4 linked regions of the Notamacropus eugenii genome follow. The protein of the gene in region 2 interacts with the protein of the main gene of each other region in a biochemical or structural test. Links are inferred from orthologs where the notes say so. Each region holds a gene or a part of one and is shown on either strand. Other genes may lie near its edges.

Region 1 (7,763 bases), on a different chromosome or scaffold from region 2:
GCATTTTTCTTCTGCTTTAATTTATGTATACTTTCATCAATGCTCACATGTAGTCTTCTGTGTACTCACATTTCAAGGCCTACTCCAGCTAAAACACCCATGGTAAATATGCAAGATTAGATATCTCTACTATTAGAAATTTATGCATGAAATAATTCACTTGCCATTAAATCAGGAGATGGATAAATCCAATGACACTCTCCCTCAAGAACATGCAAAAATTTTCTCTATTCCAGTTCAGGTGCCAGTGGACCTTGGAACAACAAGTTTTCAAATAATGCATTTTCCAATATGCAATACTATCCACTATATTAACTAAATATTTTAAGATACTACTTACAAACTTCAGTTTGGAAATTGTAATTCAAAATCTTAGGGATTGGATATTGATATTCTTAACCAACATATTATTCAGAGTGGATTACATACAGTACCTTCTAAAAGTACAACAAATTGTTAAATGATAAGTTTAAGTTACAGATTAAGTTAATTAGTATTAAGTAAAGTTGTTTTGCCTCCATTTTTTCTACTATAAAAAATAAAAACAAAATAATACACTATTTTATTAATATACTCTCATAGTTCTTCCAAAGGAGAAAAAGCAAAGGAAGATTTTGGTTAGGTTCATTTAACTTATCAAATTTCAAATATACTTTAATAAAGATTATATAATCATTGGCAGTACCTCCAGAATGCCATGAAATACACCAGCACTTCTTAGTACTCAAAGTAAGATTCAAGACAATTTGCAATAGAAACCTAAACCTTCAAAAAGTAAATAAGCTATTAAAATGACTTACTATACTATAATTCTGTCAATTTGTTGACATCACCCTCATTTGTCTGAAACTATACCCCAAAGGAAGATCTTTTTAAAGGATATTCTGGGTTATTATGAAATGATCCAATTTTCAATAATGCAACAAGTAGTATGTATATGTCACCTCTTCCTTGTGGGGTTAAAGGACAAAAAAGGAAATAAAGATTATATGCTTTTTTTAATAAATCACACACATATGTATTGCATATGCCTTATAATACACATAATACACATAACACACTTGTATTGTACTGTGTATATTATTGTACTGTCTATGTCTATAAAAACATAAACTTGTTTGATACCAGTTATGTATTTGTCAGCTATTAATATTTTACTTTAATTCTGCTCATAACAGAATTACCTAACTTTGGTTTCACTGATGACTGTGCCTATAAAATTTAAATTTTTAAACACATCCCACCACTGCAAAATTTGTTTCTCCTAACTTTGTGACACAGCTAAGATTAACTGGTTCTTTCAAAAAACAACCTATGGCCCAAGAAGGACAGAAGAGTAGTATTACTATACAGTTTGGAGATACTAAAAGCAACATGTACTAAGGGAAGCTCCCTGGAGTAAATAAGCCCCAATTCAAGTTAATTCATACACTGTGCTCTGGGGGAACAAAAAAACAAAGTTGAAATAGTCCCTGCCCACAAGGAGCTTACATTAACAGGGGAGCCAACAAACACATGTATAATGTATGGATGTATATACATACACATACACGTGGTTAGTGGTTGTCCTTTGTTCTCAAAGAGGACCAAAATGACATCACCATGATAAAGTCAAGTTTCAAGGCTAATCAGAACAATATGAGCTCGAAATGCTTTACCACAGATTGGGCACAGATAGTCCCTGTGAAATGTAAGTATATAGATGTACATACATATTTAGGGACATAGAAAACATGCAAAGCAGAAGGAAGTGGGGTGTCCTGACTCTCAAAAAATCCCTAAGATTGCCAGACAAGGTTTCAATGTTTCTTTTGGAAACATTTATTTGTTATACTAATGAAGCTTCTGTGTAAAGTGGTTTCTAGGCTGTTCAAATAAGAAATCTGTGGGTGACCACATTTTAAATAGAATGATTATATCAAGGAATTTTTCTCTGGTGTTTTTCTTCTACTGATAACAAAGGCCTGAGTTCTGAAGGCATTACTACGAAATTATACCCGGACAAGGATCCCCAAAGAACTGTCGCTTTACAAGCAACTTCTAAGCGATCGGTTGCCACCCAAGGGGTATTCTACATGCTCGTCTCCACGACCAGCCCTCAGCAACACGAAGTTGATCCATCAACCCTCTTGTTCTCTCTCTCCCGCGGCCGAAACTGGGTTCCCTCTCCTCCAGCCCCTCTTCCTCCCCTTGGCCACGCCCACCCCCCCAACCCACACAGCCTCCCCGCTCGCCCCTCCCCCCCAGCGGGGCTCCGATACCAAATAAAGAGGCAAGTGGCCGGTGGCGGAGGCGGAGGCGCACACGCCCTGAGCCCGCTCCCCTGTCGCGGGCTGGCCAGCATGACACTGACAGTTTTCAGCTCTCGGGCTGTCCGGTGGGGAGGCGGCAAGAGCGCGCCCCAAAAGCAGCAGCTCTGGCGCCGGACCTACGGGTCCCTCCGGCCCACCCCCGGCCCCCACCCGCGGGGAGGGGATGCTCGCGTCAATCCCGCTCCATCTCCAGAAAGCTCCAAGAGTACAGAAAGGGCGGGGCTGCGAAGGACAACTCCCACCCCCGCCTCGGCCGGGGCTGGGAAGACCTCCACCACACACGCCCACAGCCCCTCGCCGCCCCCCCCACCTCGGCCCTTTCCTCTCCCCTCCCCCTGGCCAGGACGGCCCCGGGGTGCTGGGCATCAAAATGGAAAGAGGAGGAGGCGGGAGTGGGTCAGCCCCCGGCTCAAACCCCCCAGCTGCAACCGCCGCCACCTCCGCCTTTCTTTCTTTTAGGCCAACCGGTGCCGGGAGGCCAGAGGGAGAAGGAATACCCGGGCCCCCCCCACCCCGCTCCTTCCCCCGGCTCTACCTGCACGAAAGGGGCCGAGCCCGGCGCTGACGCCCGCCCGCCGCCGCCGCCGCGGTCGCTGGCAGCCTCCCCCCGCCCCGGCAGGCAAGCAGCCACTAGTGACAAGGCGCTCCAGCAGCCCCTTCCCATCAAACCCCGCGCCCCCGCCTTCCGACCAATCAGCAGCGCCGCCCCGCGCGCCGCGCTCCCTTGTCATGTGACGGGGGCGGGCAGTTGAGGCGGTTGATGCTGGCGGCGCCGGGGCGCCTGGGGCTAGTCGTCTCTCCGACGCCTCTTTTCTCGCTTTGACCGGACTCGAAGCGGCCTAAGCCATTTTTCCTGTTTCTCCCTGACCTCCCCGTACCACTCAAGGGGCGCTGCGGATGGAAATGACAACCTGTGCAGAGTCCTCTGGAAGCCCTACCCGCTGCCAGGGAGAAGAAGCCGAGAAGGCTGAATGGCAGGCCAGAGGTGCCCCCCAACCAGATGTCTCCCAGATGGCGGCGAGGCAGGCACCAGACTCTTCCCGGACAAAGGGACCCTGGCGTCCTTGAGCCTCCCGCTCTTCTTCTCTTCCAATGGAGGACCTTTCTGATTGAACGGCAGTGTGGACTAATGTGGCGGCAAATCCTCATTTCTAGGACCTTCAAATCGCAATTGATGTTAATCCCTCTTTTTCTGAGTACTTTTATTCCTTGGAGCCACAGCAGAACAGGGCAACATGGAATAACCAGTAAACATTAACGGCCTATCGTATACCAGACGCTGTGCTAAACGCCCGGATACAAAGAAAAACAAAAGAGGTCCCTTGCTCTCAGGGAGCTTATGGTTTAATGGGGAAGAAAGCATGCAAACAAATATGTACGAACAAGATGCACACAGGACAAATTGAAGATAATGAACAGAGAGAAGCATCCTAGGCATAGGGGATAGCCAGAGAAAATGCCCCCAGTAGACTCAGGAGATAGAATGCCTTGTTGGAGATATATTGAAGAGCATAGTATCCCAAAATCGCAGCAGAAAGAAGTATAAATTTTAAGAAGACTGGAAAGGTGAAAGGATCTAAACACCAAAACAGATTTTGTGTTTAATCCTTGTGGTAACAGGGAGCCGTTGGAGTTGAATGGGGGAAGGGGAACATGATCAGATCTGAGTTTTAAGAGGTTCACGTTGTCACCTAAATGGAGGACAGATTGGAGTGGGAAGACCAACCAGCAAATCAATGAAATAGTTCTGATGTGAGGTGATGAGAGCTTGTGTACCAGAGTGGTGACAGTGTCAGAGGTTAGGAAAGGGTGAATGCAAGAAATGTTATGAATGTAAAATTGACAGGCCTTAGCAACAGATTATGTTTGGAGGGTGAGAGAGAGAGAGAGAAGTCAATGATGATCCCTAGTTTGCAAGCTTGGCGAAAGGAGCAGTAGATTTGAAAACAGAATACTTGGCTTTGAGTTATGGTTCGGCCTAGGGATATAACCTTGAGTACTGTTCTAAACTCTTTATAAATATTATCTTACACAACAACCCTGGGAGGTAGGTGCTGTTATTATCCCCATTTTATATATGAGTAAACTGAAGCAAACAGATTAAATTACTTGCCAACATCACACAATTGTAAGCATTTGAGGCTGGATTTGAACTCAAGTCTTCCTGTCCCCAGGCCCAGGGATCTATTCACTGTACCACCTAACTGGCCCTGAGATCAAATTAGGCCAACATCTCATCACAAATTCCATGATGACTCTTGGTGACAGACACAAAGATCTTTTTATTCTGACTGAAAGTGTTGTTGGAGTCACTCTTATCTTGGGACTCTGGGGGGTCTGGCCAGCAGGTGAGGAAAACTGAAATCTGGATAGGCTGGAGAACACAAATAATGTAGGCTCCTCAAACTAAGCATGAGAAAATGAAATTCTTCCACCTCACCAATGTTCAGAGAAGTCATCAATTATGTTAATTTCAGCTATAAAATAGAGCCAGTATAGCTACCAAGCCACTCTGGGCAAAGTTTGAAAATTTAAGTCTCCTGTGCATTTATATTTACCAAAGGCTTTGATCCTTCACTGTAATACTGGGAAACTGATCTATCACAGAGCATGTACCATGGGAAGTAAAATGTTCTAACATTTGAAATATTTGCCTTCATATAAAACAATATTTCAAGTATCCCATGTTGTACAGCTGCCTTCCTTTCCCCTAGTCTTGGCTCTGCCAATAAGTTAAGTTACCTATTTGTAATAGTTGCAAGGACATCAGAAATGTCTTCCCCACCATGCTCAATTTTAATTTTATTCTTGATGCTTTTGTGTCTCTAGGGATGATGTAATATAGGAGAAAGAACATAAGATTCAGTTTCCAGAGAGCTGAATTCAAGTTTTAGTTCTGCCAGGCGCTAGCTATATAACCTGTAGTGTGTGACAGCCAGTTCATGCAGGCACTCAAGAGTCCATTGTTAAATTTTAGCTATAAATCAGGGTTTGGTTTGTTGTTTTGTTGATTATCTAGACTTAACAACATGATGGAGAAAATAACAGTGATGCAAATTAAACTTAAATGTTTTCCTGCCTACCTTTTTTTCCCCTTAGAGAGCCAATTGTTAAACATTTACAAACACACCTGCATATTACCTTGGGCAAGTCATTTTGTTTCTCAGCATCAATTTCCTTTTTTTTTTTTTAAGAAACAATGACTTAGACTTATAAAGATCCCCTTCAACTTGAACATTGTGTAGGCCCCTATAAATTGTAAATGTAACACATTTGGGAAAGGTCTCCTTAAGATACCAGCTCTCACTTTAGTGAGACTTGATTACTTAAATAAATTCTGAGAATATTATCTGAGAGTGCGACATAGGTACCTGATTAGGGGGAAAGGAACCTAAACTGCCTGGCAGAAACATACCAAAAATAATCTTTGGCTACTTGACAATAAAACATTGGACTGAGTGCCCAAAAAAACAAATTGTGGCTTTTAAGCCATACATTGAGCATCTTCAGTTTGCCTTGATTTGCATTAATTTATTAATCTGAGCCTGAAGCAAATGCACCAGAAATGTTCAACTAGTATTTCAGTGGAAAACTGAGAAAACATAGTATGCAGCTATATTAATTTCTAACAATTCCATAAATATTTATTCAGTTTACTTTTTGACATATTTTTTCTACTTTTTTATTACTGGAACACAAAACATTTTCAGAAACTTGGAATTTTGTCCTTCAAGCATTATTTGAAATTAAAAGGCAGCTTGACCTTCAGACATGTATTCCTCAATCTAGATTGTCAAAAAGAGTAAGGTATTTCTTTAAAAAAAAAAAAGGCTTTGAATGACATGTCCCGAAAAAAAAGGATAAGCAAGGTCATAATGGGTTTGGGGTCGTGTGCCTGAGAGCACCAAAAGGTGGCATTGCAGTGTTATCTAAGAAATAAGGATACCTTGAAGTGCCAAATAAGTTGTAGTACTAGCCTTTGTGTGTGCCTAGAGCTTACACATAAAACTAGGAGGATGTAGGTTTAGCTAATTCATAGTGAGATTTATTGTTAATAGGAGCCATAAGAGTACATGGTACTTTACAAAGCATAAAATATGGAAGACAAGGTTCTTGCCCTGAGGAGCTTACTAAAACATGTACAAGGCACTAGCTAACAGGAAAAATATTAAGTCATGGTGATTTATAAGGTGGTCAGAAATGGAAGAAGAAAAATATTTTAAGAAGTAGTAGAAAGGCAAAGTGCCTAGTGCATGAAAAACGAGCTTTGGTGCAAAGATTTGAAAGAAGATAGAATAAGAGAAAAGGGAAAAGAAAGGGTGAAAAGAAATGAGGACGAAGTGAAAATTGGAAAACTAAGACTTGAAGATAAGATGGAAGAAAAGCCACTTACAGAATTAGAGCCTAAAGCAGTACAATACATAGAAACAGAAGAGTGCTTGGTCTACTTGGCAACTGAAAATCCTAGCTATTTATCTCTTTCCTGATAAAACTGGCGGGAGTATTCCCAAGTAATAGACAACTAAGTCAAATCTCTTTCTGAGGCCTGTTATTTCCACTAAGTAATCTAAATGTTTAAATAAATTCTGACTTAACATAAAATAAGTATGTACTTATTTTATGTAACATAAGTGAAAACATGCTTAGGTTTTGAAGCTATTTTTAAGGGTTAGTATGTGTTTTTCTATATATAGAATCATTTTTATAAGATACTTAAACAAGCATATTCCTGAAGGTCAATTGTAGCAATATTGAAATAAAACTAAAATATACCTCTTTGCTTAGTGCCTATTTTTGTAATGTTTCCCAGATAAAGTTAATCTTCTTAATGCATTAATCTTAAATATAATGAATCTATAACTAGGTAGACCTCTGCATAGCAGTTTCTCTGTTAACAAGACATGGTTATGTCTAGTTAAACTCCACTAGGCCCTGACACAATTCAGTAGTTTTGGCTGTCTTGATAGTCAATTCATCTAGATGTAAAGTTTGTCTAATTGTAAAAAAATCATCCATTAAAATAAATAAGAAATCAAATTTACCAAGTCATAAACAGTTCAATTGTATTATGTAGACATGGTTCCAAGAAAAGAGGATTCATAAAATTAACCTTTCTTAAGAAGTTTACAAAAATAATTTAAAAGGGAATAATGACAGTTTATATTTAAAGTCATTTGAAAACCTTTGACTGATTTTAGACCATTAGTTTTTTTAAAATTTTGAAGAAAATCAATGACTTTTTTTTTATATGAGAACAACTTGAGTATTGTTTCAGGTTGTAGGTTAAAAGTTTTAATAGTATATTATGCCTAAGCGAAAGACATGAAAATTCCTAAAGCATTTCTCTAAACTGAGCTTAGCCATTATCCAGATATTGCTTCAATTCTACATTTCATTCTGCATTTGAAAATGTTAGCTAACAATATAAATTTGTACCTAAGTAATCAGAGA
Region 2 (7,340 bases):
CTGCCCTGACTAGTAAAAAAAGGGCTAGAAGGTAAATTCCCAAAATTTAACACAATTCAATTATTAATGAGCTTGCTGTTGATCTCTGGCAAAACCCTAAAAAAAGAATAAGTTGGTAGGCTGAGTAGTAAGAATGGTATCATTAAGAACCAGAACAAGTTAGTTAAAAACAAGTCATGTCAGAATTGATCAGGGTAATAATGTACCTGGTATTTTAGTGTATGATATTATACAATATCTCTTATGGCATTCCTTGTAAATTAAATGGTAAGATTCCAGTTGGTAGGGAGCGTTGGTTGTCAACTTGAAAAAAGGTCCTTAGCACTAGTCTCTTTGAAATTTTTAATCAACGGTCAACAGATTAATTTTTTAAAAGATAGAGATGAAACATTTATCAGATACATAGATGAAGTAAAGCCAAGAGGGAAGTATATGCTGGATGAAAGACCAAAAAATTTTGCAATAGGCTGGAACCAAAATGGGCTATATTAGAGGTAAAGTAATTCAGTTCATAGTGCTGGACTATGAATCAGTTAGTCCTGGGTTCAAATCCTGCCTTTGATATGAGCTGGGTAACCACAAACAGGCCACTTAACCTCTCTGGTCTTCACTTTCCTCATTTGTAAACTGGGAATAACTGAAGCACCTACTTCAATAAGGTACTAGGAAGCTCAAATGAGATTATGTAATGGGGCTTTGCAAACTTCAGAGTGCCAAGGAAACTTCAATTATTATTACTTGCTGCATAATAACTTAGATGTTACCTATATTTTATTGTATTTTTGTTAATTTTATTAGATATTTCCCAATTACATGTAAATCTGATTTCGGCAATGCTGGGGCCAACTCTTTGACACCTTTGCTCTAAGAAAATGATTCTATGACTCCACCTCTTGGTTCCCTTCAAGTCTTACCTAAAATCCCATCTTCAAAAAGACTTTGGGAATTCTCCTTAATGCCAGTGCCTTCTGAGATTATCTCCAAGTTATCCTGTATATCCTTTTATATTCATTTGTTTGCTTGTTTTGTTTGCCATTAGATAGTGGGTTCCTTGAAGGCAGGAAATATTTTTGCCTTTTTTAAAATCCTCAGCAGTTAGTCTAGTACTTGGCACACAGGAAGTATTTAAGTAATAATTGTTGACTAAGGGGTTCTTGGGGCAATGGTTTGAGTAAAACAGTGCAATGTGGTAGAAAGAAGTTTCGCCTGTAAATTAGAAAAACTAGTTCAGACTCTGGTTCTGCTGTTAACTACTTGTATAACTTTGGAAGAGTCTCTTCACCTCTTCAAGTTTTAGTTCTCTCAACTGTGAAATACAAAATTTTGATTAGATGATTTCTACAGCCCCTTGCAAAACTAACCTTTTATGATTCTTTTTCTGAAAGGGCATCTCTGTTACTGGGTATTAATTGACCAAAGTTACAATGCATCAATAAATAATAAGATCATATTGTATTAAAATTTCTCTCTGGATTCAACCCAAGAGCTTAACTGAGGCTCCTGAACACATGGAAACCCACCAACTTGATTTATGGCAAAGTCTATTACCTTCCAGGTTCAATAACAGTTACTCATGGCCATCATTACATAAATAAAAAAATCGTATGGTTTGACAACACAGTTACAATTCATTAAATATGATGACTGGTTAAATTTGAATCAGTCCATTTTTTAAAAACAAATACTCTTTGGGGGAAAGAATGGGGGAGACCAACAATTTGCCCCATTTTCTTCAGTCTAAAGCTTTTCAAATGATCAAGAGAATATGATTGATTAAAGTAAAATTGGGGAGTCTTTGATAGCTTATTCTCAACCACCATTTTTCAATATCAAAGACAATTCTAGGCCACCTCATTAGCAGAAGTATACTTATGACAACTCTTTCATTACTACTTATCTTTTTTTTTTTTAAAAAAATAGGTTAATCAACACCTCATCTGTACAGGGCAGGTGATCACTGTTCCCACTGTACAGATGGGAACATAAATCACCAAAGCAGAAACCATTACAAAATCAAGGGACCTTGAGTTATTGAGTGCTGTCGATTCTCTTCTGTTCGGGGTGTCACTACAAGTGGGGAGGAGGAGCCTGTGCAACCACTCTGAGGGCACAGAAATGTCACATACGAGGCAGCTAGACAGCACAACGGTAAAATACCACTGGACCCAGGTGAGAAAGCCAAGTTTCCATCCAGCCTTACACAAGCACTAACTGTCACTTAACCTGTTTGCCTCAGTTTCCTCAACTGTAAAAGAAAAAAACCACCGAGTGGCTGTGAGGATCAAATGAGACGTTTGTTTAAAAAAAAAAGAGTGCTTAGCGCAGACCCTGGCACACAGTAAGAGGAACATAAATGCTTATTCCTGTCTCTTGCCATCAGAAGGAAAGACAAGTGGAATCAGCTTTGCCAGCTCCCTGTGTCCCGTGAGGGCAAGGCGTTACTTCTGGGGTTCTCGGTTTATCGGCCGTACAATGAGGGGGTCGGACTAATGATCGCTGAAGTGCCTTCCCATTTAAAAACACGTCCGGTTGCGCTACACCCAAAATCAGCGCTCACAGAAGCCACCCCCCCACGTCACGAGCAGACCCCCCTCCCCAGCTGGGTCTGGAAGGGTCGTGGGAACGTGCGGTTCAACATCGGTCCACTTTTCACTTGCGGCAGGATGACAAAAGGCCCTCTTCCCAGCCCCAGAAGGAGGCCGGTCCCGGGAGAAGGGGGCGGCGGCTCCAGGGCGCAGCGGCCGGCAGTCCCGCCCCGTCCTCCCGCGGGCTCCGCGCCTCCGGGTCCCTCCCCGGCCACATGAGGGCGGCGGCGCGCGGACGGGGCGGGGAGAGGGCAGGGGAGGCTCAACTGTGGCTCCTCCAACCCCACTCACCTCAGCACCCCGCCCGACCCAGCCAGGCAGGGCTGGCCCCCCGCCCGAGGGGGTGGGGTGGGGTGCGGGGCCCGCAGGCGGCTCGGTGGGCGCCGAACAGCCGCCGCCGCCGCCTCCCGGGTCCGGAGCCGCCAGAATCGTGGTTATCGTCGTCGCCGCCGCCGTCGTTGTCGCCGCCGCCGTCGCCGCGCGACGTGATGACGCAAGGAACGCGAAGACGGGCCCCCTTCGCCTCCTCCAAGTGCCACGTGACGTAGGGGGGGTCACATGACCCTCCCCGCACCACACTTCCCGATGCCGCTTGGAGCCGGTGGGAAAAGCGGAGGAGGGAATGTGAGACTTTGGCGGAGCTGAACGGGGTTTGGGCGGCACGCTGAAGCCCCTCCTCTACGGCGGCTGGCCGGGCAGGGCCTCCGCTCAGGACCCGCCCGCGGCCGGCTTCCCCGGGCGCGTGGCCAGGCCGCCTCTCAGCGCTTGGAGGAAAGCTGCGGAGCCGTGGCCTCCTTCCAGGCCCATCACTCAGAACGGCGTCTAGGGGCCGGCGGGGCTCGGGGGGCGCCTGCCGGTGTGGGCAGAGTCGACGCTGGGGCCGATTCTTCCCCCTCCACGTTCTCTGCATCACAATGGGGCTGAATCATCCGCGCCCCCGGGCCTCGGGCGGTCCCTCGTCTTTGGGGGCGGGCCGCCTCCTTCCGGGACTGTTCCGTGGAATCCCGAAGCCCCGGGGTCCGGCCCTACGGCCGTAACCTCATCCTGAAAGGCCACTAGGTCCTAGAGGAAGCAAGGCCTTTAGGGCGTGGGGTCCGCCGCGATCTTGCTGGCTTCCGTAGTCACGGGAGATGGGAGCGGGCGGGGCCGGTAAAAGCCTGTACCCCACGGTTTGTGGGAGGGGTACCGCCTGCGAGTCTGACCTCTCCCCTCAGGGACTCTGCAGATCTGCTCTTCCCCCAACTGGCTACTCCCAACGCCCGCCTCCCTGCGTTTGTACAAGTCAGTCTCCATCCCTGGAATACAGTCCACCTCTCTGCCTCACAGAAATCGTCTTCCTTTTAAGGTTCACCTCAGTCTTCCCTGGTTTCTTGCTGTCACTGCTGTGTTTTCTTAGTACAGAGTTTTCATCCCAGTAGAATATAAACTTCATGAGGGTTGGAACTGTTTTCTTCTTTTATCTTTGTATCCTCTGTGCCTAGCACATAATAGCCACATCCGTAATAAATGTCCCTCCAGGACCACCATAAGTCAGTTAACAAACATTCATTATGTGTCTCCTATGCCGGGTAGTGTGTGTGCGCCAAGCCAAGGGGTACAGAATGAGGCACAAAACATTCAATTCCCCCATAATATAAAGTAGTAGCTCATTCTAATGGGGAAGACAACAAATGAATATGTACAAACAAGCTATATACAGGGTAAATAATAACTAAAAGACAGGGCACTAGAATTAAGATAGTTTGGAAAAGGCTTCCTGTAGATGGGATTTTAGTTGAGACACCAATCTTCTTGATTCCTATGTTCTTTGGTGCTGATGTGTTTTTTTTTTTTTTTTATCAGCTCCCATGAGTTTAGTAATCATTTTTGGGTAGATGACTCCTAACCTCTCCTGAACTTGATTTCCAAATTTTAGTTGGCTGCTGGACATCTCCACCTGGTTGTTAGATAGTCACATCAAACTTAAAAAAGTGGAATTCCTATTTCCCCCCAAAAACCCATCCTGCCTCTGAATTTCCCCATGTCTATTGGCACAATCATCTTTTCAGTTACCTAAAGTTCTCAACCTTGAAGTCATCCTTGCCTTTGCCTTTTCCTTCAACCCCATTTCCCTATTCTGTATCCAGTCAGTTGCCAGTCTTGATTCTTAATCCACATCTGCATCCTTATTTTTCCTAAAAATACAGTCTCTAACTTAATTCAGGCCACTATCACCTCTCAGCCCGGACCATAGGACCTATGTTTTAGCCTCCTAATTGGCCCCTTTCAGTCTCTTACCTCCCTAAACTCAACAGATCTGCCCATGTCTTAGCCCTGCCCCAAAGTTTTCAGTGGCTTCCTACAGTCCCTAGAATACAAAATATTCACATGTAAAGCCTTCCACAATCTTGCTTCCTTTCCAGGTCTTTTAAATAATAGTAATAATAGCACTTCTATAGCACCTACTATGTGCCAGGCATTAAGTGCTTTACAAATATTTTATCATTACAACAACCTTGGGAAGTATCTTCATTTTGTAGTTGAGAAAGCTGAGGCAAACAGGTTAAATAACTTGCCCAAGGTCATACAGCTAGTATCTGAGGCCGGATTTAAACTCATGTCTTTCTGACTCACCTAGCTGCTTTCTGATTTTACAATTATAAGTGGCTACAGTCTTCCAAACTGGTCTGACTGTTCCTCACACAGGACATTCCATCATTCTCTGTGCACTCCTCTCCGATATCTTCCTCCTCACTTGTCTCTGAACCCTTAACTTCCTTCAAAGCACAGCCCACATACTAATTATCTCCTAAATAAGCCCTTTCCAGATCCCTCCAGTTGCTAGTATTCTGTTCTCTTGAAATTACTTTACAACCTGATGTTTACCCATCTTGTGTACACAGGCAGTTCCCAGCAGAATTCAAGCTCTTTGGGGGCAAAGGATTTTTCATTTTTTAAAAATTGTATTCTCAGCTGTATGATCTTGTCTTAGATGCTTAGTAAACATTTGTTGAATTTAGTGACTATATGTAGCACTTCTGGCTCACTGAAACAGGTTACTTAATTCATTATTTTATCCATTATTAATATTTTGTTCTAATTGGTTCTTCTAGTGAGTCCCTTTATGTTGAATCATTCATGAAAGTTAAAGGGAATAAACCAGACTTTTGCAGAACCTGTCCATCCTCTAACTTTTCCCTGCCAAGTCACTAATCTCAAATCATATACGTCTCTGGCTAAAAGGCACTTGGATGGGTTTTGGCCAAATCTGGCTGCTGAACTTAGGGAATTTTAAAATATGAAGAACATAGCTCAGCCACATCTTTTTTTCAAGCTTCCCGTTTTTCATAAACAAGAAGCTACTGGTAACTTTTCCAGCTGGCTGTTTGTTAGGCATCTTGAACTTGATGTCCCATAGATCGCTTACTAAACAGTCCAAAACTGCACTCATCTTATTTCTTCTCAAGCTCTCTCTTCCACTAGTACTGCCCAGGGTACCATTCTCCTCCCTGTCACCTGAGCCCATAACCTAATTGTCATCCTTGACTCTATACTGTTATCTTCCCCTTTCCCCCAGCCAGTATTTTGCCAGGTCCTGCCAATTCTGCCTTCGAAATATCTCCATACATGGCCCCTTCACTCCTCTTACACTACCACTGTGCTGGGGTAGTGTCATCACTTCATGCCTAAACTCTTGCCACAGCCTTCTGCTTGGTCTCCCAGCCTCAAGTCTTTCTTTGCTCCTGCCCATCCTCTACTTAGCTGCCAAATTCATCTTCCTAAAGTGAAGGTCTGACTGCCACTCCTCAATTCAAAAAACTCCAGTGTCTTCGCTATTATCTCCAAGATAAAATATAAAATTCTGTTTGGCTTTTAAAGCCCTTCAAAACCATTTATTACCTTATTAATCTTATACTTTACTGTCCTCCAGTGACTTTCTGGCTATTCCTTATATAGGACACCCTGGTCACTAGCTGTTTCCCATGCCTGAAATTCGTTCCCTCCTCATCCCTAGGTCCTGGCTTTCCTTAAGTTTCAATTAAAAGCCCGTTCTCATAGAAGTTTTTCCCAACCTCCCTTAATGCTAGTGCTTTCACTCTGCAGTTATTTCCAATTTAACTTGTATATAGCTTCTTTGCCCATGGTTGTTTGCATGTTGTCTCTCCCGTTAGAATGTGAGCTTCTTGAGAGTAGGGACTTTTTTGCTTCTCTTTGTATCCTTAGCATGTAGCACAGTACAGGGCACATAGAAGGTACTTAATGCCTGTTGACCTGACCTCAAGTGGCACAGAGGTATAAGGAACCTATGAGATCCTAACTCTGTAACATTCAGTGACAGTTTAGGTACATACTAGATCTCTTAAGCTATGGGACATTTTAGACATATTCCTATTTTCTGGCCTGCTTTCTGAAGGTCAAGGCTTATCCCGAGTTTCCTTCACTACCCAATCCTTCCTCTGTTGTTCCTTGGATGCTCAGCATCGTTGGAGAATGTCACAAAATAAGGTTCAAACTTGGATGGTCTTCGTGGCCTTAGATGCCCTGAATGTAATAGACTTCTGCTCTAGTCAGCTACCACCACCTTATTTTCTTCTGCTTCACAGCCAGTCTTGTAGAAACAAGGAAAGGAGAGGGTACCTGATGCCTCTATTTTCTCACTAGCAACTCAGTCCCCCACAGTCTAGCGTCTATCACAGCTGAAAGCTTCTTTGAGGTCACCAAAGCTGATTTTCACTTTTCATCCTCAGATGACTTTTGGGCCTTTAACCAAATGAC
Region 3 (6,938 bases), on a different chromosome or scaffold from region 2:
TTAGGACCTTCCATACCAACTAATTAGTCAAAAACCTCAGCTGAGGTAAAGAGCCAAATCTTAGCTGTACGCTTATTTGAGAGTTACCAGACTGTTGGGAGAGCATCTGAGTAACAGGAAATATGGGACACCTCTTAGGGCTTCAAGTTTGAAGGTGGTGGTAAAGGGAGAGTGCATCCCAGGCCGAGGTTAGACATTGTACTGTAGTCTAGGCCATATGCATGCAGGAACCTGAGGGCTCCTTATTTATAACAGCTTGTTCCTTTGGCTGAGGGTATTAGGAAACTGTTCCGTACGTAGGTAGTATGGAACTAAGTCCCAAATGAGGAAAGAACCTCCACTAATGTTGGTTGGCATCTTCTGCAACTTGCCAACCAAAAAAAGTACCTTGGGTCACTGAGTGAACTTAAGTGAGTTGTCCAGGGTCATAGAACCAGGATGTATACCAGGTCTTTTGAAACAAAAGTTTTGTTTTTGAGGTTAGTACTAGTCACTGCAGAGTAAAATCACCTTGGTTAATTAAGATCTGTATGTCAAGTACCTTAGAACTAGAAAGCAGTATAAGAGGGGGGGGGGAGTGTGGAAGCTGCTTTGGAAACAATAGTTTTTGCAAACTCTGGTTTGGTCATCCTTGCTCTCTTAGTAACTAGTTGTTTTATTTTTGTACATACTGATCTGAGTTGTTTTCCTAGGAATAAACCTGGAGAATATAACTTCATGAAAATGACCAGTTCTGGAAGGCAATGCAGTTAACACACCTGGGCTTTGTCGCTACAGCGTAACTTTGGCCAAGTCACTCTCCTTGGCCTCTAAAATGAAATCTGACCAGATGGACCTAAGGTCCCTTCCAGCTCTATTAATCTATGCTGTTACAGAAAAAGGTAAGCTTTATAGATGTCATTTCTTTAAATCTAGATTGCTAACTGAGGGACAATAGTATGTATCTGCAACTCTGATCCATATCGTTCTATATGGCTTTCTTTGCTCTTACTTATATCACTTTGTTTTTGACTCTTCCCTATCAGAAAAAGTGCTTACGTAAATATTTTGGCTTAAGTGGGGACTTTTTAATATACTTTTGGGGTTCAATCTCCTGGTCAAAGAGAATGGACCATTAGCAGCTTTACTTGCTTGATTCCAAACTGATAAAAATTGATTTTATTAATGTTATCGATTTATAGCTTGGCCAACAGTGCAGAAGTGGGCCCATTGTAGCACAGTCCCTTCAATATTGATCATTTGTCATCTTTGTCAGTTTGCAGGTTGTGACTCAAAGGATCTTGTGCTTGTGGAGTTTCAGCGTTAAAGTTCAGCCCAGTGTGGTTTTTGGAATGTTCGTTTCAGCCATAGTTACTTCACTTATTCAGCATCTCCAAGATATGAGCATATCTAAAATTGAACAAGTTTTTTAAAAATTTTTTCATCCATTTAATTAAATTTACGTACGAAGCTTCCTTATAAACAGAAAGTGAACGTTCCTCTTACAGCTGTTGTGGATTTGAGTTCAACTAACTCCCCAAGTGAGCAGTTGACTTCAACATATGCCATCTTCAGCAGACACAAAATGAAAATTAAAGTATTCAAAAAGAAATTAAACTTTAAAATGATTTTTTGATTGCTTCACAACACCCTGTACTGATGTGTCCCTCCTTAGTTTACATTTCTTTATTCTTAAAGTTTGCAGACAGGAGAGGTCACTTGCAAATTGGGTGAGATGGACAGTGATGGGCTTCCCCATCCCCTTTTGAGAGGTTAAGCAAGTTGGGATAACATGGGTTGGGCTAAATGGCCACTTCCAATTCTAAAATTCTGTGAAAGCAAACGGAATATGATTTAAATTGTTCGGAGTTAAATTCTGCTCAAAATGACTGACAGGTTAGATTCAAAATTTAACCTGTATGCTATCCCTAAACCTGTTCAAAATATCTGACAGGATTATAAGATTCCATAAATGACTTAATAGCAGACTCTACCACACTTTCCATTCATAATAGATAAGGGCTTATTTTTGCCTCCTAGCTCACTTCAGTCCTCCCCACCTACACACCAGTTCTCCTCCCACACCCCCTTCCTGCCTCTCTGTTTTATTTCACCAACAAACTTAAGTAGGAACCATCTTGTTTTCACATTTTTTGTATCCTTGGTGCTTAGAATATGACATGTAATTAATGACATAAATTTTAAAGCTGACTGCTGGTACTAAAAAGATCATTTGTATATGCAGAATGTACAAGATCTAGTACATGTACAAGATGGGAGATAAGGCCAATAAAGATCCTCATGATTTGAGAAAATTAGGAATTTGGGGTTTTTTTGTATATTGGATATAAACGCAGTGAACTCTGCTAGTTATTAGATAAATCAATGATATGGTCCTCAGCTTCACGGTGTTTCAACTTTGTAAGGTATTTCTACGTAGATAGGTTAGGTAAGCTCTCCCAACCCCCAAAAGCCTTCACGCTACAATATAGCCACTATAATTAGTCAGGATCTAATTTCAAGATTTTTATATCTACCCTTACATTCTCTTGTTGAGCTTAGCCTGTTATCCTATTTATCACCTATTCCCATCTCAGGTATCTCAAAAGTCACCCAAGGTATGACCATCTGAGGCTTCATAAGCTCTCCACATATCCAGTCCGTCATCTACCGTTAGAACAGCACTGCACAATTTAGAAACTTTGGGCTGCAGACAGGTTAGAGTAGGGACAGACTCACCAGTTGGTTATTATGGGTCATTCGACACAATTCGAAGGGCAAGTTCACATTTTTCACGTTGCTTGAAATCCTTTGGTGTGTCCCAGGGGCTGGATGTTGTGCGGGCCTGCTTCGTAAAATCTTGTATTAAATATTCCCATTCTCATCACTGCTCTTGACATTTCAATTGGTAACCCTACCTCACTTCTGCCCAATCCAGTCATTTTCCAGTCAGTTATCAGTGATTTTCCTAAAGCCCAGGTGCTACATTAAAACTTCAGTGGCTATTACCACTTGGATCAAGTATAAAATTGCACTTAGCATTTAAAGCCCTTCATATGACAGCTAGCACTTTAGCCATTATTTTAGTTAAATTGAGGCTGGTGCTTTAAGCGATTGGCTTGCGGCCTGGTGCACTCTCCTGACCTCTGCCTCTAGCTCACCCGGCTTCCAGTCGCGGAAAAATCCCTCTTAAAGGAAGCCTTTGCTAATCCTTTACACCTTCCCCCTCCCTAACTTCTGCACGGACTTCGAGGAGAGTGCATGGTCCCTGAGCGCTGGGGCCGGGTTTCTGCCTCACCGTCCTCCCTGCTCAGCGGTTCCTGACATTGTAGACACTTAATACTCATTAACAAACTTGCAATTCGGTAAAAATACGCCTTCCCGTCGACCCTGCTGCGGATGACGGAAAGCGCTTCGGGCCCCACGTGTCAGTCAAATGCAATCTGGGTTTAGAGCGCCCGTCGGGCCCCGGCCTCGCTGGCTCGGCCCGTCGCTCCCGGCTCTGACCTAAGCGGCCCAAGTCTCCTGATCCCGCCTGCGGGCCCCGGGACCTGCCCCTTCCCACACCGGCCTAGGCTGCGGGGTGGGCGGTGACCTCCTCGCTCTAGTCCGGACGCTCTTCTGGTGGTTCCGTCACAAGCCGGAGCCGTGTATTCCGGGCCGGGCTGCGGCCTGCAGCTCTGCGCCATGACCTGTGACCCTGACCCCGGGAGCAGGAGGACTCCGGAGAGGATACGTAGCTGCCTCGCAGTAGGGCAACTGAACGGAGCACGTCACAGGCGGGATTTCCTCTCCTTCCGCCGGATATCGGAAGTAACGTTTTCTGACGCCCCTGCACAAGCAAGAAGCACCGCCTCCCGTGGCAACGTCTGCGCCTGCGCCAGGAAGGAGCGCCCCGTGGCTGGATGCGCGCCTGCGCCCGGGAAAACCTTTCTTCTTCCACCCCGAGCCTCCCACCCCCTTTGCTCCCGGAAGTGTTCGCGGGGCGGGGCCGGGCCGCGGCTGCCACGTTGGAGAAGTTCACCGGTCGGGGGGAGGGGCAGCAGCAACGGCGGCGGCGTCTGAAGGAGTGGCTCTCGACTGACTGACTGACCGACGGCCTGACAGACGCCCCAGTACCCCCGTCACCTCCGTCCATCCCGGGAGCCTACTCCTCCTTGTCCGCGGCGGGCTAGGAGCCGGCGGCGAAGCAACGAGAGCTACGAGCCCAGCCCCGGCGGAGCCCCAGGGAGAGACCCCTCGGCTCTCAGGTGCGTACGGAGCCGGAGGCCGGGGCCAGCCCCCGCGCCTTTGCACCGCCGCAGGTGCCCGGTTCTCCTCCTCCTCCCCCCGCGACCTCTCTGGTGCTTGCGACTGCATCCTCTCACCTCCTCGGGGGAGGAACTGCACAGGAGGAAACTGAGGCAGGGTGGCGGGGCGGCCGCCGGGGTCTCGGGTCCCCCCATTCCCAGGCCGGAACCCAAGTGTCCGGCTCGCCCTGTTTGTCCTCCGGCCCCTTCCAGGCGCAGCGACTCTGGGGCTCGGGGCTGTCAGGGACCTTTGATCCCCGGCTCCTCCTCCTGCCTGCGCTCCTGGGCCCCGGCCCCCCGCAGCGAACTCTCTGTGTTGTGAAGGGGGACCCAAGTTGAGCCACGGGGTGCCGGTGAGTGAGCCCGGGGGCTTGGGAGGCGCCTCCGCAGCCCCCCGAACTAGGGAAGCCCGGGACTCCAGCATTGCATGCTCCAAACTTGGGGGATCCTCCTGAGCCCCGGGGTGCAGATGCAGGAGGAGCCAGGTTTGGTGGTGCGGAGAAGTCCCGCACGCTTCCACGGAGCTGTGCTTTCTGGGATGGGGGCGGGGGGGACAGACGGACCGACAGACCTTGGTCGGGTCATCAGACCGTAGAACCGGGCATGGAGGGAAGGAGGAGGGATGGAGACCCATGCGGGGCGGGGGGAAATGAAAAAGATCCAGGATCCACTTTCTACGAAGTTTGGATTTTCTTAAAAAAAATAATAGTGGGAATAAAGTACGTGGAAGTTCTCCCGCGTCCGGGTCCCAGTTCTCTTTCCTGGGTTGGTTGGTTTGCATTTCTAAGTCTGGCCTCCCTTGGCCTTAGAAAGTGTCCTGGTGGGCGGCTTTATGGTCAGTGACAGCTTGTCAGGTGTCATTTCTGAATTAGTATACTTAAGGGCTTGTTTCCTCTGAAAGATACTTAGTAGCAAAACTACTGCCATGGACGTTTGATGCAGTAGCTGGTTTGTCGGGATGTTTATCCTTCTTGCGAACTGGCCTCTTCCTTTTAGGGGATTTTTGACTTTTCTCCGGGAAGGTGTGAACCCTGCATCGTTGAAATTAGCCTCTGTTCGTCGGCTTGCCGGGCTGCTAATGCTGTGGGGATTAAGACCTAAGTCCCTTCACCTCTAAGTGCCCCTGGCAGTTTTCTAGCCCCACCACTGCAGAGCTGGTAGAGCTGGTGCAGATTTGCTTTGCTTGAGGGAGTTCCCTTCCTGAGAGCTATCTACAACGATAAAATTACTAGTCTGAATTGAAAAAAAGTCTGCTGAATTGGTCAGTTCCCTCTATTTAATGTTGCTGGTTATTGTTTACTTGTGAGGCAGCCTGAGGCACTGTAGGGATGGTCGGAGGTTTCTGGCCTTGTAATGCTGCCTCTATAATGTCGTTATACAGCAGGATGAAGCTAAAAGAAGTGGACCGAACAGCCACGCAGGCGTGGAGCCCTGCCCAATGTCATCCCATTTACCTGGCCACAGGTGAGCTGACAAGGGACATTTTGCTGAAAAATAAGTTTGATTAGAGTTTTTTTTAATAGCAGCAAACTTTTTTATTATGCACATAAGCAGCACTAGTAAGATATGAGACCGTCTCCTAGAGAATTGTAAATTTTGTTCTGAAAATTATTTGTCCCATCTGTCTCCTTCCCCTGTCTAGCCATGTTCTGCTTTTGCTTTCTCATCTCTGTTCATATATCTGCTTTGGTGTCAGACATGCCAGGATTTTGGATAGGATAAAGTCCTATCTTGTCACTTCCAGAGTATGAACTCTAAAGTACTTCAAAGCACTTTATAACTTGGAGCTGCTTCCTTACCAGTCTTCTCCCCCTTCTCTGTCCAATCCAGTGACATTGGTTTCCTTGCATGAGACACTCCACCTCCCAGGGCATTTTCACTGGCTCTCTACCGTGCCTGGCATGCTCTTCACCTCATTTCTGTCTCCTGGCTTCCTTCAAGTCCCAACTAAAATTCCACCTTCTACAGGAAACCTTTTCTAGTGCCTTCCCTTTGTAGGTTATTTTCAGTTTATCTTGTATACGGAGCTTCTTTGGACATGGTTTGCATGTTGTCTCCCCCGTTAGACTGAGAGCAAGGACTGTCTTTTATCTTTGTTTTCCCCAACACTTAGCCCAATATCTAGCACAGAGTGGGTATGTAGTAAATCTTTACTGAGTGACTGACAATGAAAATTCTTAGGAAAAAAGATAATTAAAAGGAGAGAACTAATGTCATTTTTAATTTTAAACTTTTTTGGAGAAGAGGATTGGGGACAAATGCATTGATAAATGTGTTTTAAAAATGTTTTCTGTAATGCTTTTTTTGGTAAATGGTATTTTATTTTTTCCAATTACATTTAAAAATAATTTTCAACATTCATTTTTTGTAAGATTTTGAGTTTCAAATTTTTTTCTTCCTCCCTCCCATACCCTCTTCCCAAGACTGTAAGCAGTCTGATACAGGTTAGACATGTGCAATCATGTAAATATTTCCACATTAGTCATGTTGTAAAAGAAGAAACAGAACAAAAGAGAAAAGCCACACACACACAAAAGTGAAAATAGTGTGCTTCAATCTGCATTCAGATGCCATCGTTCTTTTCTCTGAATGTGGATAGCATTTTCCATCATGAGTCTTTTGGAATTATCTTGGATTCATTGTATTGCTGAGAAGAGCTAAGTCAGTCAT
Region 4 (7,079 bases), on a different chromosome or scaffold from region 2:
ACAAAACTAAACCTATAAGAATGAATTAAATATGGAAATTAAATATTAAATATGGAAACCCCAACAGTAATTTCATTCATCTTATCTTCCATTAGGATTCGTCCCCAAAATGACTGTGCTTGATTAAGACGCCCCTCTATAATGAGGTGCTCTATTGGTGCCACTGGATATCCCCAATCATTTCTGTAGCAACTTAACCCTGGAGCTTCAGCAGTTTCTATAGCAACCAAGTTCCCTTACAAGTGCCACATGGATGTCCTCCAAAACCTCTAACAACTTTCTCCATCAATGTTACCTGAGAATCCCACTGGTTCCTTCTGTGACCTGATCAGGATCTCTAAGAGTTACTAAACATCAGGGCCTAAATGTTCTTCTTGACTCTCTTTAAGATTTGTTTCTGCAGTTAAACTCTTTACTTTTCCCTTAATATTCAAATATACTAACAATTTTTCCAAATACTTTCCAATTTTTGTACATCTAGAACTTAAGTCAATGGACTACAACTCAATTTATTAAGTATGTTTACAATGTCAAGCATTGCTGAACAATGGAGAAAAATACAGAAAAATAAGACAATCCCTGCTCTTGAGTATGTCACACTCAAATAGTGGAAGACAATGCTTACAGGCACTAAATGACACAAATAAAGTATCTCAAAATGGAGACCGCTACAGTAATTAGGAAACTGTCTAAAAAATAAAACGAGCAAAAATATGTTTCTATCATACCACATATTCATTTCAGTCAATCCCATAATTATCTGCACAATATACTTTGGTATTTTCAACTCCTCACTCAGAAACTAAAACTAGGGAAATAACCAGACTAAAAGTTAAGCTTGCAGTTTGAAATCTCACTAAATCACACTTACCATTGGATAATGCTTGTTGAAGTTCACTGTCAGATATTACTCCACTCCTGTCTTTATCAACCCTATGGAAATAATTGAAATAATTACAGTGATGACTAAAAATGAAAGAAATATAACAGAACTGCTTTATACTGCCAAAGATAAGTGAGCTCTTAAATCCTAAAAGTTTACTTTTCTTCAGAATATAAGTTCAAGTTTTTAATTCTAGCACACTCCCACTTCCTGCTTCAAACTATTTATCAACTACTTTCTCCCAACTTTTCCACTCTGTCCTGGTTTCAGTTCAGAAGACTACACTCTCTTTGGCTACTTCAAAAGCAAAAATGTTTAACTCTACTTGTATATCTATACACAGAGGTAAGTAAATAAAAATTTCAGTCAGATGTGATGGGGCAGGTCCTATAATCCCAGCTACCAGGAAGCAGATCTCTTAAACTCAGGAGTTTGGAGCATATTAGGTGTCTATACTGAGTCACAAACAGAGGTCCAGGCAACAAAAGAAGGTCAAAGATCACTTGCTGGATGAGTCCTGGGATCATCCTGGGAGCAGTCCCTTTATTCCAGTCTGAGCTGGACCCAGTCTTTAAATCTATCTATCTACTTACTTATCTATCTATGTATCTCCATCGACAGAGAGAATAGACTGTTTTGGAAATTCTTTCATTGGTTTCTAGTCATCATACTTTCTAAATCACCATTCTAGATCTAGGAGCGAATCAGGCTCACCACTTCCAATTTTCCCCAACCTCTGGCTTTCCCCCTTCATTCATCTAGTAATTCAGTGTTTGGTAAATCCAAAGACTATAGCCACAGGAAAGAGAACTCACTATTTGACAAAAATCCATGAAAAGAAAGTAGGCAGTCTCCTGGCTCTCTACCTGCTTCCTTGTGGATCCCATCACACCGACCACATCTCCTTTCCCAAACCCTCATTACTTAAAACATCTTCATTTTCAGACACAATCAGTGACAACCAGTCCCTGACAATCCCCCCTTCGGACAAGAGGAAACATTCCTACACCAAGAGACCTAAAGATGATGGGAGCCAGTGACCGGACGTGTTTCTCTATTTCCTTCCTAGCCCTTGGGCACGCAGCTCGGAGAAGGAAGGCTTTCCTCCTCTCCATTTAGCCCTGCCTCTCAGCCACGTTACCCACAGCTGAGCAGAGAGCCTGGTGCAGGGCCATGTCTGCAGTGAGCGGGCTGCCGGGCAGACCACCTCTGGGCCCTCTCCAGGAGATCACCTCTAGCCAGCACTCCAGCTCCACCACCCAAGCTCCCACGACCTGGGAAGCCTCGGGACTGAGGTCCTGGATCTCAGGGCAATCCATACGTGGGTCGGAGGCCAAGACGCTGAGCCTAAGAACTCAGGGGACCCCTGTGAAATGAGGGGACTGGACGGGGCGGCCTCAAAGGTCACTTCCACCGGGCACTGGATGGCCGTGGGAGGCCGGGAAGCGGGCACGACCCCAGGGATCCGCGCTCTCCGTGGGCACGCGTGGGGCTCGGGGGCAGACGCCAAGTCTGGACCGCGGGAGCAGCCCGGCTCTCGGGTCTCAGTTTCCTCGTCTGTAACGCTGTTTATAAGAGGGGGGCAGAGCCGGGGGGCACCCGCTAGGATCCCGTGCCCGAGGCGGGTGCTGGGGAAGGGCAGCGGAGGAGCGGGGCCGCGGTGCACCGAGGACCCGACTCCCGCCCCCCGCCTCCTCTCCGTCCAGCCCGGGGTGGGGGCGCTCGTGGGAAGAAGGGGAAACCCGGGGCTGGGGCCAGCGCATCCTCACCGCTGAAAGACGTTCCACAGGAAACTCTGGTCCGGCAGGGACGCGGCAGCAGCGGGGCCGGGGCCGGAGCCGCCCCCGGCGGCCGTCCGGTAGTGGTAAGTGGACATGGGCCGGTCGAAGGGAGGGTAAGAGGAGAAGCGGCGGAGCGCGAACTGGAGAGAATGGCTCAGCGGGGTTGCTCCACTTCCGCTTTCTTTCGCGGGGGCGGAGGAGCCGGAAGAAAGGAAGGTCACTTCCGGGCTAATGGTCACAGCCGGGAAGAGGGGCGGGGCATCACGTGGCCGAGGCTCTCCAGTGCCCACGCGAGGGCCTCGTTGCCCGGCAACGGAAGGGCGCTAGGCTGGGGCGGCCTCCCGGCCCCGGGGGAAGGAGGGTGCAGAGGGCCTCGGGTTCAGGGGCCTAGCAGGGCGTGTCTGGCTCTAGGAAGGACTCCTTTTTCCGAGTCCTGGATCGAGCTGCGACTCCTCCTTGGCGTTCCCCTCCCGGGGCCTCAGTTTCCTGGTGTGTGACCGAAGCGGGGCGGGGGTCGGAAGCCCCGGACTCCCGGGGACCTCTAGGGCCCTGCAGCCCTACCTTCACCCGTCCGAAGGCTAAGCATGCCCCCACTTTGGAAATCCGACTCTCAGCCCCTAGAGAAAGGAGTCTAAGGCTGAGGAGCAGCAGGGCCGAGTGTTCCGGACCACTCCTCCTGCCCCACCCCAGCCCGCTCAGGGTCACGGCTGGGGGTATTTGCTCCGGGGCCGGTCCTTGGGATCCTCGGGTAAGGAGGGGGACACCTGAAGTGGAGCTCGCGGGAGTCCCCGAGGTAGAACCGGTTTTCTGGCTCCGGGAGGCACTTTGGGAATTCTGGTCCACCTTCCCGCCCCGCCCCCACGCCTGCTTACCCCGCGGGGAAGATGCAGGGGCAGCCTTCAGAGTGGCAGAGGCCAAAGCTCGTGAGCAGGGGGTCTCCCCAGCCGGGAGCGCCCTGTTCGGTGAGGTGCAGAGGGGAGGACCGTGCCTGGCGAACCTTCACCCGCCACCCTAACGTTGAGTCTCTTGTTCCGCCATGCTTCACAGCAATGCCCAGGCTTCTGGCCTGGATGCTAGGTGTGGAAGACTGCAGTAGTGTCCCCGACGTTCAGGCTAGTTTTAATGAGTCTGATCACTTTGATTGTCTGGTGGAATATCGTTTGGGGACGAGAGTTGGGAACATCCCGGGAAACAGAGGTGATGTAGAGACACAGTTATTGGACAAAGATTAAAAAGCAAATTAAGAAATTTCAGTTTATTGTAAAAGCAAATTCAGACTCCAAAGATATGCCTAGATAATGCAAGATCATTTTTAGCAGCCTCCAAAAGATTAAAGGCGAAAGTGAAGGGCAGGGGGACGAGGGTGCTGAATGGCCATAAACATGCAGACTAAACAAAATAATATGGAAGTGACACTTCCTGAAAACCCCATTCTTACAGGGCCAAAGAAATTCTTGCTAGAGAAAAGCTTGGAGTGCCCGTCTAGTCTGACCTTCCCAACTGACTTGTCCAAGGTCACATTGGGGAGTTTCAGTGGGACATCTAGGATTCAAATCCAGCCTTCCAAGTCCAAATCCAGTGCTTTTCCCTTTGGGGCACAGCACCACAATTCCCTGGGGCCTTTTCCAGATAACTTGCTAACTCATACCAAAAAGGAGTGATGATAGTTATTCTTTACTAAAAGTAAGGGTTTTATCACTTAGGAATGCCTTTCTTTTACTCGCTATCACTTTACCATTGTACCATCCTAGTTCAAAAGCTGCGTCTTGGGAAGTTAAAAAAAAAACCAAAATCTTCTTTTAGCTTGTAGGTACAATTCAGTCCAAAAACAGGCAAGATTACTAAGTGGCACAGCTGATACAGAAAAAAGTCTGCTTTGTCAGAGGATGTGCTAGAAGATCTTCAAGATGTCTCTGTAGGATTCTGTGATTTTAAGAATTAAGCAAAATGTAGAAGTGGGTATTTTTTGTTCCTTTTAAGAGGACCTAATATGCATTTTTCAAATGGACCTGCTCCTAAGTATGTCTTTTAGGTTTAAAGAACTCACATGCCTAGTGGGCACTCAATAAATGCTTGTTGATTGGGTGTGAGTGGGTATGTCCTGTAAGAGCAGCAATGCTCCCCACATGGAATAACTATACTTTCTGTTTATAATCACTCTCCACCTGCCATTTATAACTTTTCTTTCAGGCTGATGAACAGTTGTGCTAAAAATGAACCATGCCCTTTGGATAGCTGATTTTGGCACGGCAAGGTGGTCTGTTTTGGTGTTTCTCATCGCTAGGAGCTGTGTTTGAGTGAATCTTCAGAGTTCTTCTACTTGCCATCTTCACAATGGAAGCTCACCGTATTATGTGGCTCCCAGAGTGCTCAGATGACATCATCCTTTGCAAACATCTAACCCAAAGGAATTAATTAAGTACAGCTACTATGCTGATTGATTGGCTGTATCCCCAACTTTACTGTAGGTGATTTTGCTTTTCCGTTTAATGCTGAGTATTGTTCATAATACAAACCTTCTCATGTACTTGATAGGGAACACACTCTGAATACCTATGTGCCACTTGAACATTTACAAAACATTTTCCTCACAACTGACTGTTTATTAGATTAATAAGGACTTCTTCATATTAAAGGCAAGAAAACAGAGGCCATTTAGTGACTTGCCAAGAGTCTCATAGTAGTAAGCTGGGGAGCAAAGACTTAAACTGACATCCTCTCTCCAAATCTAGTGCTCATGAAGTAAAACAATCTCCTGTTATAATTGAAGGCTCTTAAACTGTGATCAGTAGATACTGTTTCAAAATGCTAATATCTGGATAATCTTTGGGGAACACTTGCAAGGAGGCACCCCATTCCCTCCTCTATGACTGCCAACATACCCTGCCTTCCTTGAGCTTAGTGGTCCTTCTACCTGTGCCCCCTTCCCTACCCCAGCCCAACACACCCAAGTGAACTACAAGCTTTGGAGATACTAAGTTGAAAAACCAGAGCTCTTAGTATTTCAAGTAACATCTAGACAGAAGATATGGATGGAAAAATATCTCAGCAAGGGAGATGTTTTTTTCTCTTAAGAGTAAAGTGGAAAGTTACCTCCTTTGAACTGGAGGAAAAATGCAAAAGTCAGAGAAGTTTTTGTATTCTCAACATAGATACTCTATGTTAGCTTTCTCAGAGGGATGGAGCTGGATCCTGTGGGGCATGACTAAAGGAGCAGCTTGTGAAACAAGGCAATCATAGAAATCATTCTCTGAGCCCAAGTACCAACAGTTGGCAACTGTCCTCAAGTACCAGAGCTTATTGACTTGGGACACTTGCCTTTACCTTTAACAAAATAATTTGCTTAGTATAAAAAAGTACTGAAGGTTGCAGTTATTTTTCACTTTTATTTAACATTACTGCATTTCTGAATTTCAATGTGACATTATCACAAGGTTACCATACTGTCACTATGTATTGAACAGAAAGATATGCCTAATAGGAGACATGTAAGATGATTTTAAACAGCTTCTGAAATATTAAAGAATGCAAAGATAATTTAATATATTTTATTTAAGAAACATGCCTGGTTTTATCACTTCAAAAAATAAAAGCATAGGAAAGCTTAATATTTCCTAGTTGCATTTTTTCACTTTACAGATGAGCCATTAGACAGATAATCTGAGTCAATCATGAGTACTGTTTTTTAACCCTGAACAAATTAACAGAATTTTTTAAAAAGATCATTATGCTACATACATATGCCAGACTCAATGAAGCATTATTATACATAATTACACAAATTGATCTATAAAGCTGGTGAACTCAATAAGAGCGAATAGCAGGTGGAACTGTGGCACAGTCAGCTTCATTTAAAGTTTTGTCGATTACAGGCCTATATTCCAAAGAAACCTAAAAAAAGGAGAGTGAGACGTCAGCTTACACTCCAAACAATATATTATTCATTTCATTAAAAATTTTAAAAAATGTTTCTAAAAAGAGGTCTGTCCTAGTTACTAATCCCCCCAAAATTCTTACCTTCATTATCAACTAATTATATGGAAAATAAAAGGTGCCCAATAAATATATGTTGATTGACCAATAAAGAAGAAATTCCATTCAGATCTCACAGACTTTACATATGAAAATTTCCCATACAACTACCCTTCAACATTCAGTTTTTTCTGTATTCAACTGCTATTAGTTGAACTATTTCAATTAATAATATTTTCAATCTGGAGTAATGATATCCTGTAAGAATAATGTTCAACAGCCTTCTCTTAGCACTATTTTTGCTGAGTGTCTGATTTTTAAAATCTATTCCTTATGAAATTCTTTTATTGGAGTCCTATACTTACACCCTCATCATGGTGAAGATGACCCCATGTTCCTGAAATCAAGGTTAGTAAATCTCAAATTCTGGCAAATTCAACAGA

What was found.
Region 1: the proteins of KLHL12 (region 2) and LNPK form a complex in vitro, tested with the Homo sapiens proteins (2 studies listed by BioGRID, with this or other methods). The link is inferred for Notamacropus eugenii from reciprocal best matches to the Homo sapiens genes KLHL12 and LNPK.
Region 3: of the proteins of KLHL12 (region 2) and SEC31A, one has a biochemical effect on the other in vitro, tested with the Homo sapiens proteins (3 studies listed by BioGRID, with this or other methods). The link is inferred for Notamacropus eugenii from reciprocal best matches to the Homo sapiens genes KLHL12 and SEC31A.
Region 4: the proteins of KLHL12 (region 2) and PDCD6 form a complex in vitro, tested with the Homo sapiens proteins (2 studies listed by BioGRID). The link is inferred for Notamacropus eugenii from reciprocal best matches to the Homo sapiens genes KLHL12 and PDCD6.

Annotation. Positions count from the first base shown.
Region 1 is NC_092876.1:238,536,211-238,543,973, forward strand, and holds the start of LNPK (endoplasmic reticulum junction formation protein lunapark), read right to left. Parts: upstream 3,011-7,763; 5' UTR 2,848-3,010; intron 254-2,847; exon of another isoform or gene 165-253; intron 1-164. UniProt on the Homo sapiens protein: Endoplasmic reticulum (ER)-shaping membrane protein that plays a role in determining ER morphology. Involved in the stabilization of nascent three-way ER tubular junctions within the ER network.
Region 2 is NC_092873.1:437,285,075-437,292,414, reverse strand, and holds the start of KLHL12 (kelch-like protein 12), read right to left. Parts: upstream 3,008-7,340; 5' UTR 2,877-3,007; intron 2,475-2,876; exon of another isoform or gene 2,023-2,474; intron 1,005-2,022; exon of another isoform or gene 915-1,004; intron 1-914. UniProt on the Homo sapiens protein: Substrate-specific adapter of a BCR (BTB-CUL3-RBX1) E3 ubiquitin ligase complex that acts as a negative regulator of Wnt signaling pathway and ER-Golgi transport.
Region 3 is NC_092878.1:150,497,468-150,504,405, reverse strand, and holds the start of SEC31A (protein transport protein Sec31A), read left to right. Parts: upstream 1-3,935; 5' UTR 3,936-4,229; intron 4,230-5,649; 5' UTR 5,650-5,653; coding exon 5,654-5,732; intron 5,733-6,938. UniProt on the Homo sapiens protein: Component of the coat protein complex II (COPII) which promotes the formation of transport vesicles from the endoplasmic reticulum (ER).
Region 4 is NC_092875.1:342,955,348-342,962,426, reverse strand, and holds the start of PDCD6 (programmed cell death protein 6), read right to left. Parts: upstream 3,017-7,079; 5' UTR 2,760-3,016; coding exon 2,653-2,759; intron 934-2,652; coding exon 872-933; intron 1-871. Other genes in the region: SDHA (succinate dehydrogenase [ubiquinone] flavoprotein subunit, mitochondrial), read right to left, coding at 6,469-6,555. UniProt on the Homo sapiens protein: Calcium sensor that plays a key role in processes such as endoplasmic reticulum (ER)-Golgi vesicular transport, endosomal biogenesis or membrane repair.